Linked DNA regions of Alligator mississippiensis. The protein of the gene in region 2 interacts with the protein of the main gene of each other region in a pairwise test. Links are inferred from orthologs where the notes say so. Each region holds a gene or a part of one and is shown on either strand. Other genes may lie near its edges.

Region 1 (7,654 bases), on a different chromosome or scaffold from region 2:
CAGCCGCCGCCTGGGAAGTTTCCCGGTGCCCACAAACAAGTTGCCCTTCTTTGTTCCCTCCCAACCCTGCCTGGGCACGGAGAGGCTGAAACGACCCGGGTGGCTTGCGACCCTGGCGCTGGGGAGGACCCAAGTCGGGTCAAGTGGAGATGCTGGAAGTGGCAAAATAACTGGAGGCAGGGAAAAAAATCGGGCACTTCCCCACCGCCTGAAGCACCGAAGGGGAGACCAAACAAGAAAAAGGGGGAGGGTAATATTTCGGTGGGGGTTGGTGCAGGGTTTGCTTCCCCCCCACCCTCCGAGAAGGGGCAAGGCTGCGAACCCCCGTCAGGGGCCAGGAATGGCGGAGGAGATGGGGCTGGGCAGGTGACTGGACCCCACGGCAGGCCGGGGACCCTCCTCTTCTCCTCGCCCTAAACTCCATGCCTCCCCCCCCGGCCGCCCGGCCGCTTTCTGCCAGCTCAGCAGTCCCCGGGAGCCGGGGCGTCGGCGGCGCTGTGGTAAACAAGTGCTGAGCTGTCAATCACAGACCAGACTGGAGCAGGAGAGGACCGGCCTAAACCGGCGCGAGCAGAGCCCCAACCAGCCGGCGCGCCCGGCGCTCGCAGGCGCACGGCACGGCACAGCACACGCGAGCGCAGGCGCGCAGCCTACCCTGGCGGGCGGGAGGGGCGGCACCCGCCACCTCCCCACGGCTTCTCTCGGGGCTTCCGGGCTGCAGCCCCCCCAGCCCCACAGCACACGGGCCCGATCCTGCCCCCGGCCGTAGGGCAAGGCGAGGAGGATCGGGCCCCCGCTGCCGGGGGAAAGGGGTTCTCGATCCCCAACCCCCCCCCAAACCCGCAGCGGCGCACGCTGGACTCCAGGAACCGGGACCTGCCCCGCCCCCACTGCGCCCCGCGCCAATCAGCGGCGGGCATCGCCTTAGCAACAGGCTAACAAACGGCGCCGGGCCAATGGCGGCGGCGCGGGGCGGGGCTGGGGTACTGAGCTGGTGTGACCGGCGTGGGGCAGAGTAGTGGGCACCCGGGCTGCCCGGTGGCCGCAGCGGCTGTGTGGGGTGCGGCCGCCACCGCCGACCCGCGCACCCACCCACCCACCAACCGGCCCCTTTGTTCGCTCCCTGTCCCGGGGGGCGCCCCGAGTCGCCTCCTGCAGTCATCCCCTGGGCTGTGGAGGGAGGGACACAGGCCCCTTGCCGCCCGGCATCCGCAGAGGGGGTGGGGAGAGGGCACGAACTCTGCCTGGGGAGGGACCCCATCATTTTACCTCAGGCCTCGCAACCCGCTCATTTTGTGAACATTAAAAAAAAAAATAAAAAAAAAAAATCCTTCCATTTATTCCAAAAGCCTTTGCCAGCGCAACCCCCTAAGTTCCCCTTGAATGAGATGGTTTTGTAAGGGGGGAAAGGGGACCCCCCCCCTCAGCTCCCGCACTGGTCTCTGCAGCACTTATTTATATATATGCAGAATAAGTGAAAGGGAACAAGGGGGGGGGGGAAGAAAAAAGAAAATTACATAACCAGTTTTAACATTATTTTCTTGTGCTAGGAATTAAGTCATCGCCACCACCTGACGCGTGTAACCAATCTGCGGAGAGGAGAGCTCGCACCCCCTCCCTCTCGCCAGGACTGGTCCCAAACAGGATTGAACCGCTTCTAACAAAGGGTGGAAACTTCAGAAAAACAAGCCAAGAGTCCCCTATACTTCTACCATGTCACCATTCAAACAATAGATTAGCCATCTGAAGACCCGCTGCCCCCTTGCCAAGGCTTGATTCCCCCTTTTTTCCCCCCCATTATTTGATAGGAATCTATTTTGCACTGTACGTGGCTGGCACAGCAGGTTTCAATGAATGCAGCTTCCCTGAACTCCCCAACTTAGGCATGATGCTCCAGTTGGGCACTTCAGGGACTCAAAGGAGGCTTGCAGGCAGACCTTTATACCTGCCTCTCTGACAGATGTGGCGTATAAAAGACATTCAGGTGATTTATTAACTTACTGGGGGAGGTGGGAGAAGAAGAAGCCACACGTGGAGTGCTGAGAGTGTATGTCAAAATAAGCCACAGGGAATCCTTTATCTGCCAACAATTATCCATCCTTCGAAAGGCCTCGCATAATCGATTTGAAAAATAGGAGTTATATCCATAGACGTCTAAAAGCCTGATTCTGTCTTGCATCTCAACATTTGATGAGAAGTTACAAAAAAGTCACTTAAAAGCATTAACTACCTGGCTTGGCCCCCCAGTTCTCAGTGCAATACGGAACACAACCCTGCTCATGTCTAGCTATAGCACAGTTTTTTTCTGACACACTTAAAATAATCATAAAATTGGAAGTGCCTCTGCAAGAAGCTCTGTTAAAGGCAGGTTGTTGGAGAAAGTCCTGTTTTGCAGGCACTTTGCAGATAAAGTCTGACCCACCATCAATGTCCATATCATCAAAACCTACAGCCCCTAAGAGATGTAGTACATTTTCACATCCTTGTATGTTGTGGTTTTTAATGGATATAATAACCAGCCCCCCTCCAAAGACTGTTCAAGCCAAGAGGATGCGAAGATGTGCATGCCTGCTTGCATCAAAAATGACTGTGTAGGATTTTGACTCCCGAATTAAAATGAAAAAAAAAAAACAACTTACCTCTCTCGTGCCCAATTAAGATGTCCTTATGGTTGAAATATTCTACTTCTTCAGTGTAATTCTGTGTATAGGCAGTGTTGGATCCAGCATTTCTAGATTCAGTCCAGCGCACTTTTGCATGTCCTCTTGCGTGAATTTTAAGAGATTTCACTCGAATTTCCCCAGTAACTTCTAAACTGACCCTTCCTGAGACTGTGTCCCCGCTAGAATAGACGGGGACGTTGCTGTCATTGAGACAGTCAAAGCTTATTGTCAAACTCTTCACCTTCCCCAGCACCATTTTTTTTTTATAACAAAGTCTATAAAAATATACTGTAAGAAAAAAACCCCCAAAATCAAAGTCAAGATCTCATATAAAATGGGATCTTCACTTGACACTGTTCAAAGCCTCTGCCGTGCAAAAAAGCTTGCAGGCAGGACCAGTGTCTGCTCTACAAACGCTTCATTGGGCTTGCTGGAAAAGTCACAGCACTAGTGGCTGTTCAGCTACTACCCAGCTCTGAGGTCTCTGTACAAAGACAGGGAGGCTGCGGACTGCCAGCTCACTTTAAGACCAGCTTTGTGAAAAACAACCCCACTGCGCATGTGCGGGCGGCTGCTGCTTCCCTTCTGTCTCACTGCTACAGGAGGTGTAACACAGAAGGCGACCGTGCTGTGGAAGAGGACCTGGGTCTGCTCTCCATTGTGTGTCTCTTGCAGTGATCGCCCCCCTAAACTCTTTCAAACGTGCCCCTCTAGGCCAGCACCCCAAAGCTTCTAATGGCAGGAATGCAGCATTATAAATGCAGCGGAAGGAGGAAGGAGAGTGGTCTAATGCCAGAGCCCTTACAGCTGACTAAGGACACAGCCTCGAGCCCGAAGCATTTGCTTCTGAATGCTGCTGGAAGAGGCTTGAAGAGTTGGGAGAGAAATGAACTGAGGAATCTGCCTTTTATTCGGGAGAAGAGATTTTGGATGGTTCATCTGCTTCAAGCACAATCTGGTGCATTCCAAAAGGCAAAATATTTGCTCTTCAGAAGTATCTTAATGAGCCAGAAATAGAAGTCGATCTTGGCAGGACTAGTTTATCCCCAGCCAGAGGGTGGGATGAACTTCACCAAAGGCAGAGAAAACCCTCTTTTGTTCGGTTCAAACCGGTTTTGGAGACTGGGAGAATCCACATATTTCAGTTATGTCTGCTGAAGATTTGTGTCAGCTGTTCCTACCAACCTCTGAATTCACCAGGAGAAAGAGTTTCTAAAAGGAGAGGAGCACCTGGCTTCCCATTTATATTTCATTAGCTCAATTACAGACCCCACCTACCATTTTTATTCAGATAGTTAGCATTTTTGTTTTCTGGGTTACCTGTGTTAAAACAGGCAAGCAAGTAAAACCTCCCCAAAACAGCTCGGAATGAATGTATATATTTCACAGATAGTTTTCTCCTTTTTTTCTGATTCCATAAGATTTAGTGCAATTTAGAGGGAGATAGAAGAATACCTTTAAGTACTGCTATTTGGAATCAAGCAAATCCTTTCAAAATAGCCCGCATAAATTCAAAAGAGATGTGCTAAATGGATTCTAAGAGAAAAAAAAAACAACCAGACACTGGAGCATATTAGGCACATAGTCTTTCTAAAAGCTCTGTGCAAAACACCTTCACCACCAAAGAGATGTTCTTTACAGTGATATTTCAAATGCATCTGTTACACAGTTCATCTACATGTTCATTGGTACACGGTCATTGCTTGACCATGCTCTCCAGATTAAACAATTTATGGCTACGTTTCTCTTTCCATGTTTATTAAATTCCACGTTCAGTAAAATAATTATTGCAATAGTTATATAATTTAAACAGTTCATGTTAGAAAGGCTAATATGGGTTGACAGGTATATTAGCTCTACTTAGAGAGGTATGTTTCTAAAGCAAAGTTTAGAAAAGCAGACTCACTTGGTAGCTTTATGACTCTTCTCAGGTCATTCATGTTTTGCCTGAGTCGACACCTGGTGGAAGCTCTCATACATTTTTGCCTGGGCCATCTTCTGTTCTTGCCTTCTGATCTGTTGATACTTTTTTATGTTTTTGCACCACCCTGTGGTAAATATGAGGAACTTACTCTGCAAAAGAGAAACTATCAACCCTTTTTTGATGTTTAGTGTGTTTGCTCTCACCCCACCTACCACCTACATAGGCAGCAAATGCCTTCAGTGGGCATATCTCGCCTCTCCCATGTGGAAAGAAGGAGAAGGAAGAGTGACACTGTTTACAGGGTATTTTGATCTAAAGAGTCTCATTTGTGGGTCTGGCATGTATGTTAGGACAGTTGTTGAAGACCAGCTGGGCCAGGCAAATATTATCCCACCTGGATGCTTCATTCTAGAGAGATCTGACATAAAACTTAATATAGTTTAGCCTGTATTGTCCTTTTTCTGCTGGTGTTCTGGAAGCAGCAATTAACACTACTGCTGCCTCGCCCCGAATTTCCAGACCTGTGGGGAGCCCAGTAGGCTGGATGACATGGCCCTGTGGGCTGGACTTGGATCATAGGTTGGAAGCTGAGGACCACTGTTCTAGGTGGTCCTACCATTTGCCCAGTCATGTCTGCACCTCTCCTGCAGAATATCCCACCCAAACTTTCCACTCTGCCGTTCCCACCTCCTGCCTGCTCATACCCACGCTTGCTTCCATCCAGCCAGTCTCTCACTTATCATACAGATATGTTGCATTTTATAGATGCAACATATCATTTACATTTTTAGTGTTAAGCAGATGACTGCATGCTGTCATTTTGGTCTTTGATTCATTTTATTATGTATAGGAAATAAAGTTCAGACTAGGAGCTTTGCTTGGGACGTTTTGTGGGTGTGTAGATGTATGTACACTTTTTATTATTATTTTTATGGGTTTTTTAATAAGTCATTCATAGTTTTTGTTGGCATAAATTATAATTGTTTCTTGTCTTTGTAATATGCTATTTCTTTTCTGAACTGATCATTCAAATGTTCTATGCCATCTTGTGGTTAATGTGAAGAACTGTCTCTCCTGCCAGCCTTTTGCTCTCTCACCTGTTTTTTAAACCTGCCGTCTATTAATCATACTCTCTTGCCCTTTCCAGACACAGCTTTACAAATCTTTCATCAAATAGCACCTAGAACTGGTTAAAATTCTCTTCTGAGTGTTTTCAATGTGAGACCTCTGGACAACCACCTTCCTTTCCTGACCTTCATCACATATATCTTTGCTTTTAATTTTTTAACACCTGGTTATTAGATGTTAAATCATTACTGTTCATACTAAATAACTTCCTTGTCCCCCATCCCTTACAAAAATAGAAGATCCTAATTTAAGCTGTTTGACACAGGGCAAAATATTCTAAAGCACCTAAAAGTGACTTAGCAGTCTAAGTCCCATTTATTTCAATGAGCCTTAGTATCCTAAACCAGCTAAATACTTTTGAAAAGTTTATCCAGTGTCTTTTCAATGTAAGATTACAAATGTGGGATGACATGCCCATTGAAAAATACTGGGATTTTGTTTTGAAGTCAACATACTACCTCTTAAGATCTGCACTATCATTGTAGTGCATTATCTCACACTAGCCTCGTGGAATTGTGTAACACAGATGAGCATTTTTAAATATAAGGTATTTTCAATTCTTTCTGGCTATGAAAATTAGGATTTAAACTGTGTTAATTGTGTTTAATAGAATCTCCTCTTGAGTTTCAATCTATTTTACTCACTTGAGTTGAGAAAGTTCTGGGGAAGTAGGAAATGCTATGTGATTCTTGATCTATATTTTGTGTAATGACTAGATAATGTAAAATATAAAACCAGTATCAGGAGCAGGGATGGAACACATGATTTCCCCCTTCTCTAATCACTAAACTAAGCAATAATCCCTCATTCATATGCACATGAATTAGTCTCTTTCTGACTCAGTGAATCTTGCATTCTTTTTCTGTACTGTGCACCAGCTTCAAGTGGAGGGTTTGAGAGTGCTTTTCATGCAGAATATTCCACAGCCTGGAGATTATGTCATACTCCAGGGATGTCAGAGGTGTGGATTTGAATTTCTTCCATCAAAAGGGGTACTGAACCTGGGTCTCCCTCTTCCCTTCTCTACTTTTAGGGAAATAGAAGGATGCACTTTAGGCAGAGGAGGAAACTGAGCTTACGTGCTGAAAGGAATCAATCTTAAAATCACCGAATCGTAGTCTTCAACATCTCTAACAGGTGGCCAGCCTTTCAGGGAAAATAATTTCTTACCTAGGTTCCAGAGACTATATTTTGCAGAAGAGCTGATCTTGGTTTATTCACAAATGAGCAATTCAGCAAAGATCAGGGCTCCTGGCTGAAGAGTGAGCTTCTGAGGCAAAGCTGGGCTTTTTATCCCTAATTTTTAGCCAGCTTTAAAAAGCTTAACAAATAAAGACATCATAGATAAAACTATCAGATATGTAAATTTGCTTATTATGCTATTTATTCGATTATGTAATGGTCCAGGAAATAGATCTATCTTAGTTGAAAGTATAAAGCCATTTCTGTAGCAAAACCAGATCTAACCAGTACCAAACCACATGGCTAGCTCAAAGTGTCCCTTTGGTGGCCTACCTAGCATCACTTGTTTCCCCCCTGTGTTCTGGAGCTTTCTCTCCTAAGGGTTTTTTTCACTGATTATCACTTCTTTCACTTATTCCTCTTTTATCTTAACTCTAAAAAGAGAGCTGCAAGCAAATATGATGGCTGTCTCACTTCACTATTAAGCAGCCTATGACCTAGTAAAGTCTACAGGGCTCTTATGCTAGAAGACAGTTTATGTACGTGGATTCTCAGTGGACATAGGGACCTCCCTACTGGCTTGAATGAGAAATTTCTAAAATGATTTAGAAGAGTAGGGGCCAACCTTTTTGGAGGTTTTTCAGCCTTAACAAATTAACCCCATACCTTCGTGAGTGCCACTCCAGTTCCCTTATTTTGTCCAATCGGCTGCTCTAGTTTCTGCTCCCTGCCCTGTGCTCTGTCTACTGTTTTACTT
Region 2 (7,406 bases):
AAGTGCCTCTGCAAGCTGGCCCAAAAATTCCCGGTCCAGCTCCACCCCTTGGTTGGGGGGTCTGTAGTAGACCCCCACCGTTAAATCCCTCTCCCCAAGACACCCTTGTATATTGATGATTATGATTAAATTATGTAACACTGTACACCTTCGGCAGTGTATTTCTTGATGATTATGATTAAATTCTGTAACACTGTACACCTTCGGCAGTGTATTTCTTTTTAAATTATGTTTAAAAAACATAGAGGGAAGCTCTGGGCCTCCTGCAGCTCAGGGGCTGCACAACCCGATGGCAGCTTGCGCGGGTAGGCTCTGCTAAGACAAAAGAAAAAAGCAGCAGTAATGAGCCTGATCTTTTTTTTTTTGCTCCCAGAGACTGCCTGCAGTCTTCTGTGGCCAGGGAGTGAGCTGCTGGTGGGCTGTGCAGCCCGAGTTGTGGGGGGACCCTGGTGCTTCTTTCCGTGGTGGCAGCACCCCCCGGGACAACCCAAGTGGGGTGCTAGTACATGGGTGCTGCCTGGGGGGCCCTGCCACCACAGAGGGAAGCACCAGGGCCCACTGCAGCTCAAGGCTCACTGGCCATAGTAGAGGCAAGAAGGCTCCAGAAAAGAAAAAAAAAAGATTGGGCTCCTCACTGCTTTTTTTTTTTTCCTCTAGCGGAGCCTGCCCTCTCTGTGGCAAGGGTGTGTGTGTGTTATGGAGCTGACGGGGCTGTCACTGCTGTCATGGTGACGGAAGTCCCTAAATTGAAACAGTGGGTTTTAATCAACACAAAACCCCACCAATTCAAAACCGGCCATTTCAATTTAGGAAGAACTAAACTCCCAGCACGTGAACAAATGGCCACAGAGATTAAGTGGAAGGAAGGGGTGGGGGTGAACCAACCATGGAACAAGGAAATCAAGAGGAAGGGACCTCAACTAGGATGCACTAGCAGACACACAAAAGGTAAGAGAGAAAAAGATGGCAGGAGGAAGGTGAAGGAAGGGAAAATGGGCAGGTATCCCTGGATCCCCTTCCCAGTCTAGTAATGATGTAGGGGCTCTGTTCTACACAGCAGGTACAATCATCTTTCCATTGCATCCATTAATCTCTCAAAAACCTTTTCATGATATTTTCTTCTAACTCTAAGAAATATATACAATTGTATCTTGTTCATTGCACAGTTCATAGATGGAAAACAAGGAAATAAATGTGTTTATTAGATCTTTAATAAGGAAGTGACCTACTGTGAAGAGAGAGATTGAATTATACAAGGTGCTACATGTATTGTATTAAATCAGTAACCAAAGTGTTAATTGTTTAAATATATTCAACTTTTATTTTGCCTTCCAATCATGGATCACCAATTCTTATACATTAATAAGGCACATAAGCTAGACTACAGTCCACCTGAGATGCTATATTCTTATTTGTTAGAAGAGCTTCATTACAGAAAAAAATATTCACAAACTTATCTTGTTATGACTTGTATAAAGTATGTTTAATTAGAAAAGCTCTCAGAATTGCTGGCTCTCAGTGCTATATTGACTCTCTTACTTCCTGTGACCCCTTGTTTGTGAAAGCTAATTATTTTTTTAAAGAAACACCAGTTTGCACACTGTCATTGTCTGGTACACAAAAGTCTTTTTTCACTAATGAGGGTTAAGTGGCTTAATAAATTTCTTACAGTCAACAGAAAAACTTGTAAAAAAAAATCCTCCTGTCCAGAGAGATTTAGAGAAAATTCTTTTAATAAGTCTGCAATATGGATTCAATTACTATTGTACAGAAAACTCACTACAAACTACAGTGCTAGATACAAGAAAAAATCATAACTAATAGAAATATGTATTTCATTCAACATTGAAGCTTTCCAAGTATACCATTTTAATGTGTTAAAGATACTGTTACAGGGTGGTGTCTTTTGGGTGTTTTAACTGAATAACATAAGTCATGAAATATAACATCATTGTAATAAATCAAGTTATATAAAGGCATCATATTATGCATAAAATACTGATTGCAAAATCATCCCACTGTTTCATGTGTCATTTGCTCTTCATAAAAGAGCATAAACCATTCCTATGAAGTTGTTAAAATGTGGGTCAGTTCAGTTCAAGCCTTAAAAAGCTGTCATAAATCCCACACCTGTCTGACTTTTTCCATCATTGTTACAAAGGACACCTGTTACAAGAACTGAGAGAAGAAAACTAAATGTTTATCTGGTGTGTTTATGGCCCTATCTAGTTATACTCAAGGTGTAATTAACCAAGTAATCAAGCAAGTTGTGAGCTGGCTACATGTTCCACCAATTAATGGCATGATAAAACAGGCAATAAGCTACAAAGTTATTCCACAAAAAATATGGAGTAATATAGATTGTTCTTATGGTGCCATTGTTTAAGGAGAGGGGCAGGTGTTCACAGCACTTCTTATGGAGCAACTGTCACTGTTTATCCTATTTAATCACCTGTTCTGTTTGCCGGCATCTACTGTAGACATGGCAGAAAGAAAATATCCTAAAACGTAGTGGAATGAAAATTGGCAGAGGAACTGAGGGGGAGCGGGAGTAGTTCCTAAAATCTATCAGGTCATCTTTAAGCATAATTAGATGTAGCTTCAAGTGCCTGGTGTCCCTCTGGTGTTATGAAAATACCTTAGGACAATTATGAAATCCATCTAAAATGAAGCACACTGAAACGATCCCTCATACTGCTGGTTATGGGACAAGCTGAAAACACTTGAAGAAGCCGATCTTGATCTCACAGTCTAGTACAAAGATGCGGGGAACAGAAATGGTCACACGTAGATACTCTCCTGGGGTTGGGGCAGTGTTTCCAGGCTGTCCAGGGCCCTGCTTGGCACCAGGCTTCTGAGCTTAAGTCCCCCACACAAAGGGCTGAGCTGCTTCCCGCGCAGGCAGGGGTCTGGGGAGGGAGATGAGCACGTCGGTGCCCACTGCCCAGATGCCACCGCTGTTCTGGCAATCAGGACTTGTGGTAGAGATGCTCTCTTTTATTAGACCAACAAGATTTTTGCAAAATCTTGTTGGTCTAATAAAATGCCCGCTGTTCTGGGCATTTGAGGGAGCCCGTGAGTGCCTGGCGCCTCCTGAATCTGGGGGTGCACCCGCAGATTTTGCAAAAATCTTGTTGGTTTAAGAAGAGAGATCATCTCTACTATAAGTCCTGAGTGCCTTTTCTTCTAGACCAATACGGCTACAACCTGGATACCCGGCACACAAAAGATATCAAATTTTAGCTGATTTCTGAAATGAAATCTTCGTACTTTCCCAAGTAGGAAGCAACTGTGACCGCCTGAAACTGCAGATCCTGCTCTTGCCTTTGTTTCAAGGTAATCTGCATCAGCACAGACCCCGACAGGAGGTGAGGCTCCTTACCAGCTATGAACCGACTGCCCAGACGAGTTTTGCATCTATCGACTCCTCTGTGAAATCCTATGAAATATGAATTTTCAATTCTACCCAGGGGAACTTTATTTTTTCTCCACTGCCTGATGAAGGGTGTCTGGGCCCAAAAGCTGGCCATTAACGAATTTATTTTATTTTTTTTCAAAAATCTTGTTGGTTTCATTAATCAAAGATATCACCTCTGTCCACGAGCCCCGATCGCCTTTTCCTCTACACCAACATGGCTACAACCTGGATGCCCGACCGCTGTTCTGGGCACTTGAGGGAGCCCGTGAGTGCCTGGCGCCTCCTGAATCTGGGGGTGCACCCGCAGAAACCGCCGACGGCAACGGCCCGGGGGGGAGGGGGGGGCACGTGCACCCCCTACCAGTCGCCTATGGAGAAGCCTCTCCCGCCACTCAGACGAGCCCCCATCGCGACCGGCCCGCGGCTGGCTCCACCCCGCCCCGCCCCGCCCCGCCCACCAAACACGTCAGAGGCCGCAGAGACGCAGCGAGGCCCCGTGGGGCTTGGCTGCCCCCTGCGGGCCGCGCTGAGAACATCCCGCTGTCTACGGCCCCTGGCCAGACCCCGCCGCCTACAGCCTTGCCTTCGCTCCAGCCCCGCCCCCGAGTGCGCGGGGTGGGCGTGGTCGCGTGCAAGCGGCGCTGGTCTCTCCTCCTCCGCTCTGAGGCCCCCGGGGTCTAAGCCGGTGCCTGACTCTATTGCCCCGCTCCGAGAAGCCGCCCGGCAGGTGCAGGGCCCCGGGTGGGGGCTCCTCCGGCCGCAGGGGGAAGGTGGTTCTTTTCCGCGGGTCCCCGTGTTTTGGGTCAGGCGCGGCGCGGACGCGAGCGGCGGGGCCTGCGCGGCGGCGGCCGGAGCCGGAAGCGGAAGCGGGCGCGGGGAGGGGCCCGGCCGCGGGGAGCGAGCCGCAGCCGCCTCGGGCTCCGCCATCGTCGTCGCTGTCGTCGTCATGCCGCTGTTCACCCCCAACCCCTTCGAGCAGGATGTGGGTGAGTGCGCGGGGCCGGGGCCTGTCTCCGTGGGCCGGGCCTGAGGGGGGCTGCCAGGGCGGGGAGTGGAGGAGCGGCTCCCTCCTGCCCTGTCACGGCAGCGGCTCCCAGGCCGGGGCGCTCCTTCCCTGCGGCCGCCCTCCTCCAGGCGGGGGCTTGTCGGGATGCCGCGGGAGGCGAGCGCTGCCTCGGATAAACACGGCTCTGAAGTCGGGGCCACGCACGTCCCTGAAGTGGCGGAGGGCGGCGGGTGCTTGGAGGCCAGGGAGGGTTGAGACCCGCTGCTGCCTCCTCTCCCCGTTCCCTCTTGCGCAATACCGGGCGGACTGTAGGTCATCTGTCCTGTCTTGCGGGCGTTTATCCTCTCATCTGTTTTTGTAGTTCAGGTTCCTGCTGTTTGGGAAGACACACAGGTTTTTAATGAGAGGTGTTGCTATCGTCGGGTGTTCTAATGATTGTAACATCTGTTTCCATAGAGCTGCACAGCAGTTAAACGCCGACCTGCAACCGTGTCTGCTGCAAGCAGGTTTTCACACCAATTGCCTTGTTTCTCTCTGTAGCATGTAGTGGGCTGAATTGCCTAAATTGGGGGTGTCAGATAGAGGGGCACTGATATATCGGTCCATATCAGATCGGCATTGATAAAAGGAAAATTGATATTATCAGCAACCGCCTTTTTAGTCGGTGTAGTTGGTGGCATCGCCGATAAATGCCACGTGAGCAGCCAGGAATGCAGCCTGGCAGCTTGGAGACCAGCGCCCAGTGGGTAAGTGTAGGGGGATAGGGTGAGGGGGCAAAACAAGCAGCATCTGGGGGGAAGGGGTGTGGGGGAGAGAACGGGGGTGGGGGGGGAAAGCGAGGCCCCCATGATGAGGGAGGGAGTGGGCAGGCGCAGGGCGTGGGACAGAGCCAAGGGGGGCATGGGGTGGGGGGGGGCAGTTCCCAGCCACTTTGCTCACCCACGGGGGAGGCATGGGAGGGGCATGTACTCTCCGGATTTGTGTGTGGGGTGAGGGCGGGCTGCCTGCTGTGGGCTCGGGGCTGGGAGCTACTGGGAAGAGGCCAGTGCAGCCTCGGGCCCTGAGCACACAGTGGGCAGCCTGCCCTCGCCCCATGCACAGATCTGAAGGGCACGAGCTCCCCATGCCTCCCCCAGGGATGTGCACAGTGGTGGGGAGCTGCCCACCCCTTCTGTGGCCTCTCCCCACCCTCCCACCCCCCCAGATTTGCTGCCCACAGCTCTGTCCTATGCCCCACTCCACCCTAGCTGGTCAGTGCCTGCCCCTGCCCCAGCCCAATTCTTTCCCACATCATGGGGGCCTTGATCTCCCTCCCCCATGCTCTCTTCCTCCCACAGACTTACTGGCTGGACACTGGTCTCCAAGCTGCTGGGGTACGTATTGGCATTCAGAGCAGTATCGGCCAACGTGGCTGGTTAAGAATTGGCTGTTGGTATTGGGCAAAAAAATCTTTATTGGTGCATCCCTAGTGTCAAATGTATAACCTGTGGGCTGGATCTGGCATGAGATCAGCTGTATCTGGGCAGGCCTGCAGGGAGATCCATGCTCTGAATCCAGCTCGGGCCCCAGGTAAGTTTGGCAGTCCTGGCTTAAATTTCTTGCAGAGTCAAAAGAGTCACTCCTAGCTGGTCACAGTTTTGAAGTCTGATCATTTTGATACTGTAAGAGGAAAGTTTTGGGAGTTTAGACCCACATGGACTATATTTAAACCCTGAATACTACAGAAGTTATTGGTATTCAGGTTGTAGCTGTATTGGTCTGGAGGAAAAGGCAGTCGGGACTGGTAGTAGAGGTGATATCTTTTATTAAACCAACAAGATTTTTGCGAAAGAAGTCTTTAATTGCAAGCTTTCAGGCACAAACACTCTTGATCAGGCATTGGAGAAAAGATTGTAAAAGTTCTCCTGGGTAGAAATGAAAGCTCATATTTCATAGGATTTCACAGAGGAGTCAATAGATGGAAAACTCTGGGCAGTCAGTTCACAGGAGTTATTGTACCTTAGAAGTGAAATGTCATTTATTATAGGAAACTAAGCTTTGAGGCTTTTTTCTTTTTAAATTACTACTGCGTATGTTTCTGTCTGAACATCATTTCACTGGCTTATGCATTAGTTCCTGAGCTTGGCGTAGTCTGTGTTTAAAACCTTTCTAGTTGATACGCTACCTTTTTTTAGATGACATGACTCGTAACAAGTGTTATGCTCTTATGCATCTTACTTGCTTAGTCAAACTTTTGGGAGTTGCTTATTTTATAGTCAGCAGATTAAGAAAAAGTTCCATGGCTAGAGTCTAAAATACTTGATATCTTAAGGACTTAAAGCTTTGGTAGCTTTTTTTGTTTGTTTTTTTTGTGGGGTTTTTTTTTTTTTAAACAAGACGTACAGCTAGCTAGCAATCTGATCTGAAAGATACAGGATTTGCTTGGTTTACAAATCTAAATGGATTTAAGTCAGTGTACTTTGTATTTCCTCTCTGGAGGCCTAGGGTGACATCTTGACCAAAATGAAGACAGTAGGACCAGGGTTTCACTCCTTGTAAAACATCAGCTGGAAATTAATTTTATGGCATCAGATTAATCCTTGGCTGACATCTGTCTATTACAAAAATTACCAGGCAGTCTTGACAATGAGGATGGTGTTGACTCTGGGCCTCTGTGTGCTATATTTGCCTGTATAGCCTACGGATCATGCCTTCACTATCCTGAATACTGACCTTGTAGTTTTAAATACCTGTTTTAAATTAATCAGCACTGTACATTTAATTGGAAAATGTTTAACATAAAAACAATTTTTAAGTTGGCAATTTTAACAGAAAGCAGAGTTAAGCATTCTTGGGATTTTTGTCAATCCTAAAATATTATGGGCTGTTCTAACAAAAACATTTGCTTGTGCTTTTACTTAAACTAGCACAGATGTGCAGTGCTTAGATGTTCTTGTGTTTCCTTAACATATCTTCAAATCATACAAAATAAAAACATTCTAT

What was found.
Region 1: the proteins of STAM2 (region 2) and ARRDC3 interact in binary tests that used the Homo sapiens proteins (3 or more experiments, as listed by UniProt). The two-hybrid records come from large-scale screens. The link is inferred for Alligator mississippiensis from reciprocal best matches to the Homo sapiens genes STAM2 and ARRDC3.

Annotation. Positions count from the first base shown.
Region 1 is NC_081826.1:242,390,633-242,398,286, reverse strand, and holds the start of ARRDC3 (arrestin domain-containing protein 3), read right to left. Parts: upstream 3,184-7,654; 5' UTR 2,920-3,183; coding exon 2,640-2,919; intron 1-2,639. UniProt on the Homo sapiens protein: Adapter protein that plays a role in regulating cell-surface expression of adrenergic receptors and probably also other G protein-coupled receptors.
Region 2 is NC_081827.1:226,525,004-226,532,409, forward strand, and holds the start of STAM2 (signal transducing adapter molecule 2), read left to right. Parts: upstream 1-4,266; 5' UTR 4,267-4,364; coding exon 4,365-4,404; intron 4,405-7,406.